Yarrowia lipolytica: one gene and its partners. The protein of the gene in region 1 binds, or shares a complex with, the protein of each later gene. Links are inferred from orthologs where the notes say so. Each region holds a gene or a part of one and is shown in the gene's direction. Other genes may lie near its edges.

What was found.
Region 2: YALI1_C15021g (region 1) and YALI1_D17410g share a complex: the UniProt entries of both Saccharomyces cerevisiae proteins name them as parts of the U4/U6-U5 tri-snRNP complex. The link is inferred for Yarrowia lipolytica from reciprocal best matches to the Saccharomyces cerevisiae genes PRP8 and SMB1.
Region 3: YALI1_C15021g (region 1) and YALI1_F21279g share a complex: the UniProt entries of both Saccharomyces cerevisiae proteins name them as parts of the U4/U6-U5 tri-snRNP complex. The link is inferred for Yarrowia lipolytica from reciprocal best matches to the Saccharomyces cerevisiae genes PRP8 and PRP18.
Region 4: YALI1_C15021g (region 1) and YALI1_F12983g share a complex: the UniProt entries of both Saccharomyces cerevisiae proteins name them as parts of the U4/U6-U5 tri-snRNP complex. The link is inferred for Yarrowia lipolytica from reciprocal best matches to the Saccharomyces cerevisiae genes PRP8 and SNU23.

Annotation. Positions count from the first base shown.
Region 1 is NC_090772.1:1,495,651-1,504,150, reverse strand, and holds the start of YALI1_C15021g (uncharacterized protein), read left to right. Parts: upstream 1-2,020; coding exon 2,021-8,500. Other genes in the region: YALI1_C15048g (uncharacterized protein), read left to right, coding at 1-824. UniProt on the Saccharomyces cerevisiae protein: Functions as a scaffold that mediates the ordered assembly of spliceosomal proteins and snRNAs. Required for association of BRR2 with the spliceosomal U5 snRNP, and the subsequent assembly of the U4/U6-U5 tri-snRNP complex.
Region 2 is NC_090773.1:1,739,051-1,742,440, forward strand, and holds YALI1_D17410g (uncharacterized protein), read left to right. Parts: upstream 1-1,992; coding exon 1,993-2,538; downstream 2,539-3,390. UniProt on the Saccharomyces cerevisiae protein: Plays a role in pre-mRNA splicing as a core component of the spliceosomal U1, U2, U4 and U5 small nuclear ribonucleoproteins (snRNPs), the building blocks of the spliceosome.
Region 3 is NC_090775.1:2,125,822-2,129,901, forward strand, and holds YALI1_F21279g (uncharacterized protein), read left to right. Parts: upstream 1-2,084; coding exon 2,085-3,200; downstream 3,201-4,080. Other genes in the region: YALI1_F21261g (uncharacterized protein), read right to left, coding at 1-281. UniProt on the Saccharomyces cerevisiae protein: Component of the U4/U5/U6 snRNP, binding principally to the u5 snRNP. It is not absolutely required for the second step of pre-mRNA splicing at low temperatures but is required at higher temperatures.
Region 4 is NC_090775.1:1,296,507-1,299,804, forward strand, and holds YALI1_F12983g (uncharacterized protein), read left to right. Parts: upstream 1-1,870; coding exon 1,871-2,326; downstream 2,327-3,298. Other genes in the region: YALI1_F12969g (uncharacterized protein), read left to right, coding at 476-1,486. UniProt on the Saccharomyces cerevisiae protein: Participates in pre-mRNA splicing. Part of the U4/U5/U6 tri-snRNP complex, one of the building blocks of the spliceosome.

The DNA of each region.
Region 1 (8,500 bases):
GCGGCGCTGCTACAAAGTATCTTCCTCAAGAGCCGAAACTGGACAACGACGTGGAGCTGCAGATGAACCCACTGTCCAAGCGTCTGGCTCTGGTGACTTATACTCCTGCAAGATGCAAGGAGTTTGGACGAAAGATGATCATTCCGTTTGTCACGCTGATCTCATATCCCATTGTTGCATTTTCTGCCATTCAGTACGGCTTCATGCTCACGTGGCTGTCCATGGCTGCTACCACTAGTGCCAATTCTTTCGCGCTGCCACCATACAATTTCTCCTCCGCAGCTATTGGCAACGTCAACATTGCCCCCTTCGTCGGCATGATCTTCGGATCTGTCTTTGGAGGCTGGTTCAACGACAAGACCATCATATGGCTGTCCAACAGAAACAAAGGCATATACGAGCCGGAGTTTCGACTCTACAGTCTCGTATTTGCCAACTTTTCGCTCACAGTGGGCGTTTTTCTGTTTGGCACATCTCTGGCCAACCGAGTGCATTGGATGGTCCCCACAATCGGCTTTGCCATCATTATGTTCGGATTCGGATCATCAGGAGCCATAGTCGTGACCTACCTGCTCGACTGCTACGACAAGATTGTTGCTGACGCCTTCATTGGCGTGATTGTGGTCAGAAACGGACTGGCCATGGTCATCATCTTCTGTTTGGGTCCATGGGAGGAAAGGATGGGTCTTCAGAACGTGTACATTATGGCCGGCTGTTTCTCGCTCGTTCCGTTGATTCTCACAGTTCCCATGATCATCTGGGGCAAGGAGTTGAGAAGAAAAAGTGGGCCTCGCTATCTCAAGGAGTCTCTTAGGGGTCAGTGATAGATTATTGCATATATTTAGAGCAGGCTGGCACGGGTACAAGTGCTGTACAAGTGAAGTATTGGCAGTTGTGTGACGATTTAGCAAGTCTCCAATGTCGTACAAGTTCTTGAAGTCGGCAATATCACTGGAGTACCAGTCCGTGTGTGTCTATATCCAACCGCTTTAGCAACCCCAAGAAAACTGCTGGTCATTGTGGAAATGTTTCATTTCTTCACCCTCGAAGGGACTCTGAAAGTCCCCCAAACAGTTTCAAAGACTCTTCTTCATCTCCACCTGTTTTAATCAAATAAATCTGAATATTTTCAACATTCCCAGTTTTTTATCTTTTATTCCAAGTTTTTTGTCTTTTATTCCCAGATTAAATCATCCCAATATCCGCTTAGCCTGCAGCAAATTCAAAACACCTTTTTTCCAAACTCAAAAATCATTTCCAATCTACACATTCACATCGCCTGATCAGCTCTAGAGGTTGATACAAGAGTGAGTACGAGCGCGCAAAAGTGGCGCAGATGGAAGTGGCACATTGTTTGGTGGCAGAAGAACCGCCCGGCCACCACACGGCGCCAATGGAGACACCTCAGCAATGACATCAACACCGACCTACATGATATGGACATGGGCTGGATGTGGATACCGAGAGTGCGACGGTGGTTGTGTCATGCGATATAACCAGCCGAGATGCGTGAACGTGCCACGTCATCGATGGGGATATTCGATACTGAGCTGTTTCTGGTTCAGATCATGTCATGTCACATACCATGAAGAGACTCTTGACGACATGGGCACCAGACCATCAGCGTATTTACTACGTGGTTGTGTTTGCCACTCATCAAATTGCCACGTCATTAGTTGTCACACCATCGGTTTGATTCGCTTATGGGGTCCGTTCAGACCTCCTACCCTTGCTTTCGTTTACTAACACAGTGCCACCTGGACTACCACCCCCTCCAGGTCTCAGACCACCAGGGGCGCCACCAGGCTTCCCCACGGGAGCACCACCTCCTCCCGGAGCTCCACCCCCTCCCGGAGCTCCACCTCCTCCGGGAGCTCCTCCAGGTGCACCTCCTCCACCTGCTGAGGACTCACGATCGTCTCTCTTACAAGCCCGAAAGAAGCGATGGCTCAAGCTGCAGAAGCGCAAGTTTGCCGACAAGTCCGGCAAGTCGACGTTTGTGCACTCGTCCAAGGCAGATATGCCTCCGGAGCACCTGCGAAAACTCATCAAGGACCATGGAGATATGAGCTCGCGCAAGTTTGCGTCCGACAAACGAGCTTACCTCGGAGCTCTCAAGTTCATGCCCCACGGTGTGATCAAGCTGCTGGAGAATATGCCCCAGCCCTGGGAGGCCGTTCGAGAGGTGAAGGTGCTGTACCACATTTCTGGTGCCATCACTTTCGTGAACGAGATCCCCCGAGTCGTGCCTCAGGTGTACACAGCCCAATGGGCAACCATGTGGGTGATGATGCGACGAGAAAAACGAGACCGACGACACTTCAAACGAATGCGATTCCCTCCTTTTGACGACGAAGAGCCTCCGATTTCTTGGGCAGAAAACATTCAGGATGTTGAGCCCCCAGAGGGCATTTTGATGGACCTGAGTCCCGTGGATGACTCAGCAGTGGTGGATTGGTTCTACGAGCACAGACCGCTGTTCGAGGACGGACTCAAGGTCAACGGGCCCTCCTACCGGTCGTACAGACTGAGTGTTGAGCAGCTGACCACTCTCTATCGACTTGCCACTCCTCTTCTTCCCGATGTTACCGACCCCAACTACTTTTACCTGTTTGACAAAAAAGCCTTTTACACCGCCAAGGCTCTGAATATGGCAATTCCGGGAGGTCCAAAGTTTGAGCCTCTCTACAAAGACCTGGATCCCGACAATGAGGACTTTGGTGAGTTCAATGCCATCGACAGAATCATTGTGCGAAACATGATCACCACAGAACACAAGGTGGCATTCCCCCATGTGTACAACTCCATGCCTCGAAAGGTGGAACTGGTGACGTACTCGTACCCTCAGGAAGTTGTTGTCAAATCTGAGGATCCTGATCTGCCTCCTTACTACTTTGATCCCAAGTTGGCTCCGATCACGAGGTCGAAGATCGATAATAATGTGGACGTTGATCTCTCCGAAGATCTTGGACCTCTCGCACCTCCCCTGGAGTCTGTTCCTCTTGTCAACGAGCAGCTTTCATCAGCTCTGGCTCTCTACCATGCTCCCAGTCCCTTCGATCGACGTTCCGGTCCTACTGTGCGTGCTCAGGACGTGGCTCTTATCAAGGATTGGTACCTGCAGCATCCTCCCAAGGGCTACCCCATCAAGGTGCGAGTTTCCTACCAGAAGCTACTGAAGTCGTACGTGTTGACGTCTCTGACCTCTCAGTCTACAGTCACTCAAAAGAAGCGTGGATTGCTGAAGTCGTTGAGAAACACAAAGTTTTTCCAGCAGACGGAAATTGACTGGGTGGAAGCTGGTTTACAGCTTTGTCGACAGGGTTTCAACATGCTTAACCTGTTGATTCACAGAAAGGGTCTCACATACCTGCATTTGGACTACAACTTCAATTTGAAGCCTACAAAGACACTTACTACCAAGGAGCGAAAGAAGTCTCGGTTTGGAAATGCCTTCCACCTCATGCGTGAGATTCTGCGAGTGGTTAAAATCCTTGTGGACGCTCAGGTTCAATTCCGACTCGGTAATGTCGACGCCTTCCAGCTGGCCGATGGTATTTACTACACCCTGAACCACCTGGGCCAGCTCACCGGTATTTATCGATACAAGTACAAGGTGATGCACCAGATTCGAACTTGTAAGGATCTGAAGCACGTGGTTTACTACAGGTTCAACGTCGTTATCGGTAAGGGTCCTGGCTGTGGTTTCTGGCAGCCTGCCTGGCGGGTGTGGCTATTTTTCCTCCGTGGAATCATCCCCCTTCTTGAGCGGTGGCTGGGAAACCTTCTGGCGCGTCAGTTTGAGGGTCGTCACTCCAAGGGCGTTGCCAAGACTATCACCAAGCAGCGAGTCGAATCTTCCTACGATCTCGAGCTTCGAGCGTCGGTTCTCAAGGATATTCTGGACATGATTCCTGAGGGTATCAAGGAGGCCAAGACCAAGACTGTTCTGCAGCATCTATCTGAGGCCTGGCGGTGCTGGAAGGCCAACGTGCCGTGGAAGGTGCCTGGTATGCCTGCCCCCATCGAGAACATTATCTTACGTTACGTCAAAGCCAAGGCTGAGGGCTGGATGGCTGCTGCTCACTACAACCGAGAGCGAATCAACCGAGGCGCCACTGTGGACAAGACGCTTGCCAAGAAGAATCTCGGCCGTCTGACTCGTCTGTGGCTCAAGTCCGAGCAGGAGAGACAACAAAACTTCCTGCGAGACGGCCCATACTGGGACGGTAATGACGCACGGGCCATCCAGCAGATGATGGTGAACTGGCTAGAGTCACGAAACTTTTCCACCATCTCCATGCCTCCTGCCAGTTACAAGCACGACACCAAGCTGCTGGTGTTGGCGCTGGAGGGTATGAAGGAGGGCTTCAACTCCAAGGGACGTCTCAACCAGAGCCAGCGAGACGAAATGGCGTACATAGAACAGGCCTATGACAATCCTCATGAGACTCTGCGACAGGTGAAGGAGAACTTTGTGCGTAACGAGGGTTTCAAGGACGTGGGATTGGAGATGATGGATCACTACTCTCACGTGACTCCCGTGTACGACATTGACCCCACCGAGAAGATTGCTGACGCATATCTGGACCAGTATCTGTGGTATGAGGGTGACAAGAATGGCCTCTTCCCCAACTGGATCAAGCCTAGTGATTCGGAAGTGCCTCCCTTGCTCGTGTACAAGTGGTGCCAGGGCATCAACAATCTGGACAACATTTGGAAGACTGACGCTGGAGAATCGACTGTCATGCTGGAGACTTCTCTGAGCAAGATCTGGGAGAAGATTGACTTTACTTTTTTGCAGTATCTGCTCCGGTTGATCATGGACGAGAACTTGGCCAAGTACATCATTGCCAAGAACAACGTCCGGCTCACTTACAAAGACATGTCTCACACCAACAACTATGGTCTTTTGCGAGGTCTGCAGTTCTCGTCGTTTGTGGTTCAGTACTATGGTCTCGTTGCTGACTTGCTCATCCTGGGTCTCACTCGAGCGTCTCAGATGGCTGGTGATCCCAAACGGCCCAACTACTTCATGCAATACCCCTCCGTCGCTGTGGAGACGGACCATCCTATCAGAGCGTACTCTCGGTACATTGACCGAATCCACATCCTCTTCCGGTTTACTAAGGACGAGTCTTCGGATTTGGTTCATCGGTTCTTGACTGAGCACCCGGACCCCAACTTTGAAAACGTGGTTAACTTCCCTACTAAGAAGTGCTGGCCGCGTGACTCTCGAATGCGGCTCATGCGGTCCGACGTGAATCTTGCACGCGCCGCGTTTTGGGAAATTCAGAACCGACTCCCTCGAGCCATGACGTCCATTGAGTGGTCTGAGTCGTTTGTCTCTGTCTACTCCAGCGAAAACCCCAATCTGCTGTTTTCCATGTGCGGTTTTGAGGTTCGAATCCTGCCCAAGTGTCGAACTGTGGCGTCTGTGCCCGTCAAGGACTCTGTCTGGAACCTCACCAACGAGTCTACCAAGGAGCGAACTGCGTATGCTTTCTTGCGCGTCTCTGATGCCGATATTGCGCGGTTCAACAACAGAATTCGACAGATTCTCATGTCGTCTGGTTCCACCACCTTCACGAAGATTGCCAACAAGTGGAACACTGCTCTGATTTCGCTGTTCACGTATTATCGAGAGGCGGCTGTCGCCACTGAGCAGCTTCTGGACACCCTGGTCAAATGCGAGACCAAGATTCAAACTCGTGTCAAGATTGGCCTCAACTCCAAAATGCCAACTCGTTTCCCCCCTGCCGTGTTCTACACCCCCAAGGAGCTTGGTGGTCTGGGTATGTTTTCTGCTTCTCACATTCTGATCCCTGCCAGTGATCTGCGGTGGTCCAAGCAGTCTGATCAGGGCGGCATTACCCACTTCCGAGCTGGTATGACTCATGTTCACGGCGAAGACAAGATCATTCCAAATATTTTCCGGTACTTGACGACCTGGGAGGCAGAGTTCACCGACTCGCAGCGTGTGTGGGCCGAGTATGCGTCCAAACGAGCCGAGGCCAAGGCCGAGAACCGGCGTCTGTCTCTGGAGGATCTAGAGGACTCGTGGGACCGAGGTCTGCCTCGAATCAACACATTGTTCCAGAAGGACAGACATACGCTGGCCTACGATAAGGGTCACCGTGTGCGAACGGAGTTCCGACAGTTCTCCATCCCTAGAGTCAACCCCTTTTGGTGGACGTCTCAGCGTCATGACGGTAAGCTGTGGTCGCTGAATACATACAGAACAGACGTCATCCAGGCACTGGGTGGCATTGAGACGATTCTGGAACACACTCTGTTCAAGGGTACCGGTTTCGACAACTGGGAAGGTCTCTTCTGGGAGAAGGCCGCTGGCTTCGAGGACCAACTCAAGCTCAAGAAGCTGACCAACGCCCAGCGGTCTGGTCTCAACCAGATTCCCAATCGACGCTTCACTCTCTGGTGGTCTCCTACCATCAACCGAGCCAATGTCTACGTTGGTTTCCTGGTACAGCTGGATCTCACGGGTATCTTTTTGCATGGTAAAATCCCCACGCTCAAGATTTCGCTGATTCAGATTTTCCGGGCCCATTTGTGGCAGAAAATCCACGAGTCGGTGGTGCTTGATATCTGTCAGGTGCTTGATCGAGAGCTGGAGACGCTGCAGATTAGTGAGACTCGAAAGGAACAAATTCATCCTCGAAAGTCGTACAAGATGAACTCTTCGTGTGCTGATATTGTGCTCAAGTCGGCCTACAAGTGGAACGTTTGCAAGCCTTCATTGTTGAACGATTCGTCCGACTCCATGGATTTCGCTCAAACGTCCGAGTTCTGGCTGGACGTGCAGCTTCGATACGGAGACTACGACTCGCACGATATCAGTCGGTACACTCGAGCCAAGTTTCTGGAGTACACCACCGACGGAGTGTCTGTCTACCCCTCGCCTGTTGGAGCCATGGTTGGCATTGATCTTGCGTACAACATGTACGACGCCTATGGCAACTGGTTCCCCGGTCTGAAACAGCTCATGCGTCCTGCCATGTCCAAAATCATGCAGGCCAACCCTGCATTGTTTGTGCTGCGAGAACGAATCCGAAAGGGCCTGCAGCTGTATCAGTCGCAGCCGCAGGAAGCGTTCCTCAACTCGCAAAACTACCAGGAGTTATTCAACAACGAGGTGCAGTTCTTCGTGGACGATTCGAACGTCTACCGAGCCGCTGCTCATACCACTTTTGAGGGCAACTTTACCAACAAGCCTCTTAACGGTGCTGTGTTCATTTTGAACCCCAAGACCGGTCAGCTGTTCCTCAAGGTGGTTCACACGTCCACTTGGGCCGGTCAGAAGCGTCTGTCTCAGCTGGCCAAATGGAAGGCGGCCGAAGAGGTGGCTGCTCTGATCCGATCTCTTCCAAAGGAAGAGCAGCCCAAACAGGTGATTGTCACTCGAAAGAGTATTGTTGAGCCGCTGAAGCAGCAGCTGTTTGAGTTCCCCAACACGGTCATCCGGCCGTCGGAGCTCCAGCTGCCGTTCAAGTCTGCTCTGCAGGTGGAGAAGCTCGGAGATCTGATTCTCAAAGCAACTGAGTCGCAGATGGTTATTTTCAATCTCTTTGACGATTGGCTCAAGTCAATTTCCAGTTACACTGCCTTTGCTCGTCTGGTTCTCATTTTGCGAGGTATGCATGTCAACCATGAGAAGACAAAGATCATTCTGCGTCCCGATCACACGGTTGTGACTCTTGACCATCACATGTGGCCTTCCTTCTCAGAAGATCAGTGGGTGCACGTGGAGAATCAGCTGCGAGACATGATTCTCAACGACTACGGCAAGAAGAACAATGTGAACATCCAGTCGCTGACTCAGCACGAGATTCGAGATATTATTCTGGGCCAGGAGATCAAAGCACCTTCTCAAAAGCGTCAGGAGCTGCAGGACATTGAGGAGAACAAGACAGACTCTCAGGTGACTGCACTAAAGACCAAGTCTCAAAACGTGCATGGAGACGAAATGGTGGTGGTAACCACGTCCAACTACGAGCAGCAGGTGTTTCAGAGCAAGACTGAGTGGCGGTCTCGAGCTCTCAGTACCGCCAACCTACATCTTCGAGCTGAGAAAGTGTTTGTGGAGTACTCTGAGTCCGACGACCAGGGTTACACTTATGTGTTCCCCAAGAACGTGTTGCAGAAGTTCATTCAGATCGCCGATGTTCGAACCCAGGTAGGAGCCCTGCTGTACGGAACTTCTCCTTCAGACAATGACCAGGTCAAAGAGATTCATGCCATTGTTCTGGTTCCTCAGCTGGGTTCGTACAGAGGTGTGGAGATGCCTCTCAAGCCTCCAGTTACTCCTCTTTTAGAGGGCCTGGAGCCTCTGGGATGGATCCACACTCAGGCTTTAGAGTCTCCTCAAATGTCGCCTGTGGACGTCACCACAACCGCCAAGCTGTCCAAGGAGTACGGATGGCCCGTGGGCAGTCTCTGTATGGTTGTTTCGTTTGCTCCTGGATCGGTCAGCATCTCTCCT
Region 2 (3,390 bases), on another chromosome or scaffold:
CAGTCGTATCGTACGCGCCTCGTACCGTCTCGCAGTCGTATCGTACGCGCCTCATACCTTCCGTCGCACGCTACCGCCCGTCGCACGCTACCGCCTCGCTGTCCGTCGTACCGCCTCGCACTCGCGGGCTCGCCGGACCTCCTACCACTTTCAATTGGCTGACACCTTATCCCTGTGTGTGTTCGGACTATGCGCTCATTGTTTACAAGTATGACGTGCATTATCGTAGGTGCCAAGAGCTGAGATACTGCTTGCTGCGGCTATCTATGGGGTTTAGCGGATGATATAGAAACAAAGGCTGGCATCTAAGCAATCTGGACGGGGCGAAAACCGAGTCGCGGTCCGTGCGACACGAAAAACACGTCTTTTCACCCCCAGCAACGGAGTCTAGCTCCCGCCCCAACTCTGTGATAAAGTTGAAAGGAAGAATGCTAACAATAGATTGTAAACACAAGGGATGTGGGCCAGAGAGGCGCTTATTCGCAGTGGCAAGCAGGGAAAAAGTCGTTGATCACGTCATTAACAACTACAAGCAACAGTGTCGTTGCTTCCTTTCGTCACGTGATAGCCCCAGTCCCGCGTTTGGCCCTCTCCTCGATCCCGCCGCCTTCCCCCTGCATCTACATACTCCAAGGGATGACGTGCAGGAGCCAAGCGTTCATATTCAACTCTAACCCTGGCTCTGACGCGGTATATATATATAAGCGGGGAGGCGTCTCCGTCTTTCGTCTTTCGTCTTTGTTAGTTCCAACCAACGTTCGTTTCTGCCACATCCACCATGCGACTCTCCACCACTCTCATTGCTGCTCTCTCCACCCTGGCTCTTGCTGCTCCTGCCCCTGCCCCTGCCCCGGTCAACGCCATCGTCAACGGCGACAAGCTCAAGAACATCGAGCACCTTGGAAAGCGAGACCTCAAGAAGATCGCCCAGGAGAAGGTGATTGTCAACGGCGACCAGCTGACCAAGGAGGCCAACTAATTGTGTCCGACAAGTGACTGAATGTCAAAGATACGACATGGTCAACCACAAACCAGCCTAGAGAACACTTTGCTCACTGTATATTTAATCAATTAATAATGACTACAACATGTTGCCGTTGATGACTGACGTGATATCACCGCTTGATGACTAACAAGTAACATCAGTTGGATAGAGATGGATAAAGCGATTCGAGGGGATTATTTTGATACTTGACAAAGAGATACCAGGGATATACTGAAAGGAAAGTACTTGTAGCTACTTGTAGGTTAGTCGTAGTCCAACGAAGGTGCGAGTCTCTCTTCATTATATCATCATTTTTTATTAAAACATATATTTTTGATTATCATTAATAATCTTTCAAACAATCTCCGATTTGCTGACTAAGACTACACTAATGGGTAGTCTACTCAAGCTGATTATTTTGATATTATGTAATCACACCTCGATTACTAGGGACAATACATAGTCTCTGATTTGATGACAAACGAGCTATTCGCTAGACATGAAAATTACACCAATAGAAACCCCACTCAAGCCCATCATTTCTACATTTTCAGGTCTCCCTATTGTCCAACAATAATTCCATCTCTGGACGTTCGACTAAGGCAAAGGTATACCTCTCCAACCTCTTCTTCAACAGCAGCAACCAAATAAGAAATGGAGAAATAAATAAATTAACAAAAGAAAAAAATAAAAAAAGGAAAAAAAAGGAAAAAAAAAAGAGGACCAAGAAACAACTCGAAATTCCCATTTTTTTTAATGCACAAAAATCAACCGCTTTTTTGTCCACTTCGGCCGCCATACCCAGTTACCCTACTGCATGACAATCTGCACACAAAGTTGATCCTCCAGTTGTGCATCACCAACGAGACATTGCACTACTGTACACACACACACACACACACACACACACACCGTCACACAAGATGATTGTGAGTATGATTGGAAAGAGCCATCATGTGGCAACCGACATCACTTGAAGATCTACATCACGTGACCAAAAGTGTTACATGATTAATCTCAAAACGCTCGATGGGACGAGCAGCTCCAGCGTTTTGCTAACACAGGTACCAAACAAGACAAAAATGGCCGATCTGGTCAACTACAGGCTCCGGGTGACGACTGTGGATGGCAAGCAGATGGTGGGACAGATGCTGGCGTTCGACCGGTACATGAATCTTGTTCTAAGTGACTGCGAGGAGTTCCGGGCAACGAAAAAGTCGCTGCTGGAGGCAAAAAAGACTATCCAGATCGAGAATGGCGACGCTTCTTCCGTGTCCATCACTGAGGAGAAACGGACTTTGGGGTTGGTCATTCTACGAGGCGAGACTGTGGTTTCTGTGTCTGTCGAGGCTCCTCCTCCCACAGATCCTACAGCTCGACTGGGCAACACCGCTCTGACACCCGGATCCGGGTCTGCCAAGGGCATCAACCGGGCCATCCCCACAGGTCCCAGAGGAGCTGGAGGACCGGGATTGGGAGGTCCCGTGCGAAGTGCGCCTGGAGGAAGAGCTCCTCCCGGGTTCCAGGCTCCTCCTGGATTTGGACGGGCGTAGACGCATACACACGTCTGGGCAGAACTGTGAAACCACGCGGACTGTCATGTTCGGTGACTAACGTCCGAAACACAGGATTACACAGCCTCAAGAGCACTCAAGAACAGCCCCGAACAGAGTGTTTAGTTTTGGAGATACGGCATAGAAAGAACCGGGAGCAAAGATGAGATGGGGGACAATGGCGCACTCACTCATGGCTGGAAAAAGGTATATAATATAATTAGCATAATAGGGAATGGACGTGTATATTGGACTATCTTCTGATACGAAACGGTGGAGCACTGTACAAGTGACAGGACTACTCCACCACCGACGTGAGCTCTTACTATTCCTCTGAGCCTGTGATACCCATTGTGCGCAAGATAAAGATGGAAATGACAGCTACAAACGAGCAAGTACGACTCTAGACTTCCTTACGATGAACTCTGAAGTCAGTCATATAGCTCGGTTATACATTCTTTTGCAAATCTGATGGGACGATAACAGTGATTGTCAGAAATGCTAGTATATTAATAATATCTGTTGTGACATGGAACTACTCAAAGCAGTGCTTACATTCCTCTAAAATCTTCAGTTTGTTTCCGTTTCCGTTTTCGTTTTTTATAATGTTTTTTTTTTTTTTTTTTGTTTTAATTCTAATGATTCATTAAAGCTATATGCTTAGTAAGCCGGCTTATTGGCGTTCATTAAATTAGTCATAATAATCGTTGAGATGCGCGTCACGGAGAGCGAGTCAATGAGTTCGAGATTGCTTTTGGTCGTTTCCTTTTTCGCGGTCACGTGGTAGTAAATCAAAACTATTAAATCAATTAATCATATCAATCGTGTTTTTGTGATTACATAAGCACAATT
Region 3 (4,080 bases), on another chromosome or scaffold:
TGGCCGAGTCGCTTGTTAGTGTGTTCATCCAGATGGCTCCACTTGTCCACCAAAAACTTGGGCAGTCGCACCAACCATACCCGGTTTTCGAGTCCCGCAGTATCCAGGTCGAAAGATCCATCGTCGGCATCAACAGGAGGAGGAGGAATCTTAACATCTTCCTCTTCGGGCTTGACCTCAGATTTCACGTTCATCTTGTCTGTGCGAATGTCGTGAGGAAACGATGATGGAAATGTATCTATCTCGATCAGCGAAACCGCCAAAGTGCTGAGGTTCTGCATATATGAACTTTCTTGGTGAAGTTTAAATATGGTACCGTAGGTAATGTATGGACATGTACCTAATGATGGGTGATTGAAGAGTTGCGGGTATAGTTTTTCCGAGATATTCTTCTCGAATTACTGGTATATATTTGCTAGACTACCTTTTTTCAGTTTTAATGGTCATTGCATGCCCCAATTGTGTGGTCGTGGTGACAGTTTGGGTTGCTCTCGATGGTCAACTATAGAGCTGTCAAACGAGAGGAATAACAGTTGGAAAGTTAGTTGAAGTATGAGATGCTCCAAGTTCGAGTTCTGTTCAAGTCGATTCAAACAAAAGCCCCATCTTGACACCAGTTTGGGTCCTCTTTGTGTGCTATAATACGAGTATTAAAGAGGATATTAATCAGCTTGGCCAGTAACGAAGGTTGAGGAAGGACTTCGGAAGGCTCCAATACCCCATTGTTACTAAGCATTAATGCAAAGCATTATTACTAAGCAAAAAAACTTACATTGTCGCCACCTTAGTAAGCTGCAAAAAACAGAGATTGCAGCACCCAGGATTCTCGTATGGTCTCCCACTACAATACTAACTAGGCTCTCTGGTGCTTGACTATGGCTGATCGGACGGGAAGCCGTATTTTCACCAGGATATGGCCGCAACCGTTAGGACCAAAAACCGTTAGACTGTTTTGAGAAGACAGATTAGTCACGTGATCGCAAAAGTTGGTGTCAATTTTAGACCCTTTGAAGGGGGATTTTTGGTATAAGAAAGGGATATGTATGCTAAGCATGACTCTGCGCATGTCTCTGTGCCACTCGCAATCAATGATATCGACGAAATATGTTGAAATTGAGACATATTATGATGTTTGGGGTGGATTGTCCAAGTTCCCACTGTACGCACGAGTATGTACTGTATTCTGGAATATTAGCAATAGTACACACGCAATTGGGCAGCAGAATGATCACAAATGTGCAATTCAATTGAATTTGACCCCATAACCCTCTCCGTATCTCTCGCGCGCACATCTGCACCGGATCTCCACCTTCATGGTTCCGTTTCTTCCCGCATGTGCTGCTTTGTCGATCAATACAATCAGCCGAGGGTCGGCAATCACATTGGGCGTTCTCATAACTGTTGATCCGCTAGCAATAGAGGTCAGCTCACCTTTTTGCCTTTGATCTAACCCAGAAGTCTCGGGTTCAGGCACCCTGAGACACACAGCTCACCTATACCTGCGCAGCAGAGTTCACCGCCGTTAGACCGAACTGCAATCAAAGTAACTTTCCGAGGAAGAGTTGAGGGGAATATGAGCGGTCTGTCAGTGAGTGTAGAAGAGACGTATGTAAGAATACATGTACACAAGGTCGAGTTCATCGATGTATCTTAGGTAGTGGCCTCGAGAAGAGATTCAGAGCTACAAGATGTTGTTTCTGGACGGCATATTTCGAGTGAAGGTCAGAGTTACTTGCGCTTAAAACTAACTAGTTCTATTGTCCTTGTTGAAAGTTACTTAATATGAACTGAAAAAATCCCATTGGTTGAGTGTGAGGAGAAGTTCGGACTAAAGCAACGAGACGTGGGCAAGAGCGTTACAAGGATAGTATGGAGTCTTCCAAGAGTGTGAAAATTGCATGTTTGTATCGGAAAAAGGTTTTCTGACTAAGCAACTGCCTCGATTTCTCATTTTCAAGGCGACTTGGTGGTGTCGCCTACCTCTCCATATCTGGTCATGGTCGTGCCTCGATAAAGTTGGCAGAGGAAAAAAAGAAGAACGCTGTTTTTAAGGTTGGCACAAAATGTGTTCTGCAGCTGCATAGATGTATGTGCAGCATCGCAAAAAAACGCTACTTCATTCACAACACACAAAAATGGATTTTGCAGCACTGATTCAGGGCGAAATCTCCAAGAAGAAAGCTGGAACGGGAGTGGCAGACTACGGCTGTAAGGCAGCGGCTCCCAAGCCCGCCCAGACGACAGTTTCCGACAACTCAGACGACCTCAAGCGCCTGGAACGGCTGAAGCAGATGAAGCGACAGAGAGAACTTGACCGGGAAGAAGAGCGACTTGAGCGAGAAGAGGCCAAGAGAGCCAAGCAGGAATCTTTGGCCAAAGCACCAGCTTCCACAACATCTACCGTATCGACAGAGCATGATGTGGCAACATCGGAACCAATAGAGACAGTGGAAGAAATGGCTGCCAATGACGCGAGAACAAACGTGCGAATCGACTGGAGTGACGTAGCCACAAAGAAGGATGCCACAAGGGATTCGGAGACCAAGAAAAAGCTCGCCATGCAGCTGAGAGTGTTTCTGGCACGGTTATTGAGTGAATGGGAGGGTACTTTGGATAAGGGAGCTGCAGCCCAGGCCAGTGGAGCGGCCGAAGAGGTCTCCGAGGCAGCAAACGCTTACAAGCGACACACTATCTTCGAAGAAACGCAGACCTCTCTATCTTCTCTCATGGTCTTATTACGACACAATGGTCTCCAAGACGAAGTTCTGGCTATGCTTTCAAAGGTCATGTACCATGTGCAACATGAGGAACACCACCAGGCCTATGATGTCTATCTTAAATTGTGCATTGGAAACGCCTGTTGGCCCGTTGGAGTGGCTTCCATTGGCATTCACGCTAGAGCGTCTCAGAACAAGACTATTGCTTCAGCCCGAAACTCGAAGCAGGTGGCACACATTGTCAATGATGATACGAGGCAGTGGCTTGTGTGCATTAAACGGCTATTGACCTTTGCTGAGGGCTACGAGAGTTGTGTGAGAAAGGCTTTGTTGACTGTTGTGGATATGGAGGATCGGGGGAACCGAGTCAACGAACCGCGAGGAAGGGATGTCAAGGGGACAGTCCTGGAGGAGGCTGGGGTTGATGGCAATTCCGAGACTGACCAGAATGCTGAGGTTGAACAGAAGGAAGCCTCTGAGTAAGTAACCTCCTGTCCTGTGCTCTGCATCATGGGTCGTGTGTTGATTGCTAGAGAGAAGCTGCTTCCACCCATTAAATTATTAATCATTGTATTTTTTGCATTTTGTTGTCTGTTTTGTGAAATGGTTAGTCAGAGTCTCGCCGGGTAGCATTGTATTGTTCTGTCTTGCAATGTAGAGCTACAAGCCGTGGGATTGCAGTAAACCAGATCTGTAGACAAGAGGGTAGCAAGACTCATACAAGTAGAACTGCCGGGGCACACAATACATTTTCGGATTGTGTCAGCTCTTCTTTTTGACTTACTGTCCGTCTGATTACACCATATTCGGGTTGACAATGTCAACTCGTTGCAAGGATGTGTTCTGACAGACATGACAAAAAGGCATACAAAACCAAATGAGGAGCTTGGTTAAGAGCACAAGCTAGATTGATCTAAAAGATTTCATTCTTTTTCTTTTTTTAATCCCCCTCCTTTCAGATCTCTTGAAGATGCCATATCTGTTTTCCCCAATTGGACATGTCAATAGAATCCATGCATGGAAGGTCAAAAATTTCCTGAACGGGAACGGACAATGAATCACAGAGATGATTCTAGACAAGACCAGTATCGAAGCAATTTGGTAATCACCCAAGTTCATTGACGGATCTGTTTTGAAACGTGAATGTGACAAAGCCTCCCTGTTGCCTTATGTCTATAAGTAACAGTACAATCCCTCCCGTGAAGTCCATCAAACAGAAAGAACCACTACTACAACAACTAACACAATGAGCAAGGCTATCCCTCGAGCATATGGCACCGACTCCTACCGAGTCAACTCCAACGTTACAATTGTTGGCGGATACCGAACCTTCCAACCCTCCTCTTGTGTGATTGCCTAACCG
Region 4 (3,298 bases), on another chromosome or scaffold:
TTTGTGTCTCTATCATTTACTTGTTCCTTCCACAAATCTCCACCACCGCCAAGGCTGGTCATGGTTGCGTCTGTCTATCTCTCTCTATCCTTTGGGCTCCAACTCTATCGGTTGCTTGGAATGTGTGTGTTTTTTTTTTTTTTTTTGGTATTGAACCAAAGAACAGGAGGAGTACTTGTAGTGCCGGGAGACCGTGGGGCTGACGTAATGAGTAATGTATATCACGTGACAAGTCCGACAAGACCACAAATCGGTTTCACCAGGACTCTGTTACAACTACAGTGTACTCGTAGTTTTATTAATGTTGCTTCCCCCTGACCAAACGCACCATTGTCAAGGTTATGACCTCCCACGTCAACATAAAAAAAAGCCGTTGTGAGAAAGGCAGCGTGTATATATATAGTCGTGTGCTCCCCCGTTTTGTTTCCACTTCCCTCTGTTCACCAATGGAAAGTCCCAGTTTTCGCGCACGGCCATGTTTGCTCGTTGTTCTGCTGCCTGTGCTGAGACCGTCGCCCGCCGGTACTTAAGAGCTGCGGCGGTTTACACGCACCCTGCAGCTCCGTCAAATTTCACTCCTACAGCAAATCAAGCCCGGACACCACCACACACAAACATCATGTTCCGAAGCCGAATCTCGCACCTGGCCCGGACCATGGGCCGAATGAACCGCCCCAGCCCCATGGCCCGAAAATACGCGTCCCACGAGCTGCTCCAGGGCGCCATGCCGACCCCTGTCAAGCTGGTGATTGCCTTTGGAGCCACCACCGCCTTCTTCATGTGGGCGGCCAAGCAGCTCGACAAGAAGCCCGTGGTGGCCGAGATCACCGAGGAGGACTACAACCAGATGGTCCAGCAGACCAAATCCAAGTACAAGAAGGCCGCGTTTGGCCCCAACGAGGTCTCCGTCATCTTTGTGCTAGGAGGCCCCGGAGCCGGCAAGGGCACCCAGTGCGAGAAGCTGGTCAACGAGTACGGCTTTGTGCACCTGTCTGCCGGTGATCTGCTGCGAGAGGAGCAGTCTCGACCCAACTCGCAGTACGGCAAGCTCATCGCCGACTGCATCAAGGCGGGAGACATTGTGCCCCAGGAGGTGACCATTGGCCTGCTCAAGAACGCCATGAAGGAGAGCGTGGCCAAGGGCAAGACCCGATTCCTCATTGATGGCTTCCCCCGAAAGATGGACCAGGCCCTCAAGTTCGAGGAGGACGTGGCCGTCTCCAAGTTCACTCTCTTCTTCGAGTGTCCCGAGGAGGTCATGCTCAAGCGTCTGCTCAAGCGAGGCGAGACCTCGGGCCGAACCGATGACAACATCGAGTCCATCCGAAAGCGGTTCGTGACCTTCATCGAGACTTCCATGCCTGTCGTCGACTACTTTGAGACCCAGGACCGAGTCGTGGTTGTCGACTGCAAGCAGGACCCTGACGTGGTTTACGACAATGTTAAGGACGCTCTTCATGCCCGAGGCATTCACCTTAAGCAGTAAATAGATATAGATTGAGATACTGACTGAGATTGTAGTGTAGGACAGGACCCTGGGATGGTACAAGTCTTTCTGGGGGAAGGTAACGCGACTAAACGACAATGGGTGTTTCTCAATTGTATATATAACTGATATGTAGTGCTTTCAGTAGGTTTCTTCCTGTTTTCAGTTGTTTGGATTGTTTTGATATCCCCTCTCTGTCATTACAGTAGTTATTCAATGAGTGTTTGCTTTGTTTTATATTTTTCACCTAAGTATAAATCGAGTAAACCCCCTTTTTTTTTAACTAAATACTTACATCCAGACCACTCTACGATAAAGTTCACCCATCCACCTGCATATCATGGATATTTTATTTAGCCCATCATCTCATCTTTCACCTCAAGCATGTCGGCAAGAACTGAGCGGATCGACTTCAACGAAGGGTTGAACACTCTCCAGCTGGTTCCCGCCACGGCCTCGGTGGGAAGACGAGGAAAAGGAGCTGGCTTCTACTGTGAAGTGTGCAACCTCACATACAAAGACTCCATTCAATGGATCGACCATCTCAACAGTAAACAGCACTTGTATGAGATTGGAGAGACGGACGGACCCCGACAATCGACGCTGGAGGATGTTCAGAAGCGGCTCAAGTGGCTGACGGAGCGAAAACGCGCCCAGGAGAAGGAGTTGGACTACGATATCAACGCTCGGATCAGTGCCAGAAAACAGTTGATTGAGCGACAGAAGAAGAAGAAGAAGGATCGAAAGCGACAGAAACGAGAGGAAAAGGTGGAAGAAGGAGCTGACGACGAAATGATGGCCGCCATGGGCTTTGGCGGGTTTGGAAGTACAAAAAAGTGATTTTAAGGGCGCCAGAACATTTCACTGTACGGATAGCTCGTGCTACACAGCACATCAGCACATTAGCACCACACACAAGCCACGGAACTGCACAAGCGTTTAACGCATAGGATACACACGTCTAATACTCGAACGGTCTTCCAGGGCAAGTCGGAAGTATCCCAAATCTACATCTGAGTGACCAAGTCTACATCTGAGTGACCAAGTGCTCATTTAATGGACTTACGACACTGCTGTAACAGAAGCACTCTAGGTGAAGCTACGGCAGCAGTCCTCTACGAATGGAAAGTTGACCAGCTAAAATTGTCTATATCACTACGTCCCCCAGTCACTTGAAAGGCTGATCTCAACTGTGAAAGAGATGACCACCTCTGCCAGCATGGTGACAGCAACTACTGCACTTGAGGACGTACACTACTCGCACTCGTACTGTACTCATACTGAAAGATTTCTTGGCAGCAGGGAGTACGACAGGGTGATCGCGGTGGTTATCAGACGGCTTATCCCGCATACCTTCCGACGTCTACAGCCTATGGACATGATCTATAGCGCTATGAAACGGTTGGCGTCAATAATGGGTCATTCTACAAGTACTCGCCTACTGTACGTGTGTACAACCGAGAGTAGTCTTGCTACTTAAACGACAGCACACAAGAGATTTACACTTGTACAATAATTATAAGACAGCACCCTGGTAAAAATGTCCATTATGACATCATCGGACATTGCATGTGGTCCAACATGTAGTCCCAAATAAACTGCTTACTGTAGCTACAATATGTACTTGTACTAGCAGATAATGGTGAAGAGAAGACAACAAATACGAGGACTTGTACTGAACTCGCACCCGTCGACGGACTCACGGTACTGCTTAGTCAGCTATATGGCAACTCTCCGGCCTGGTCTCCACTCAAAAAGAGATCTACACCGTTTCTATGAATCTAAGAGATGGAAGGCAAGTAGACAGACAAA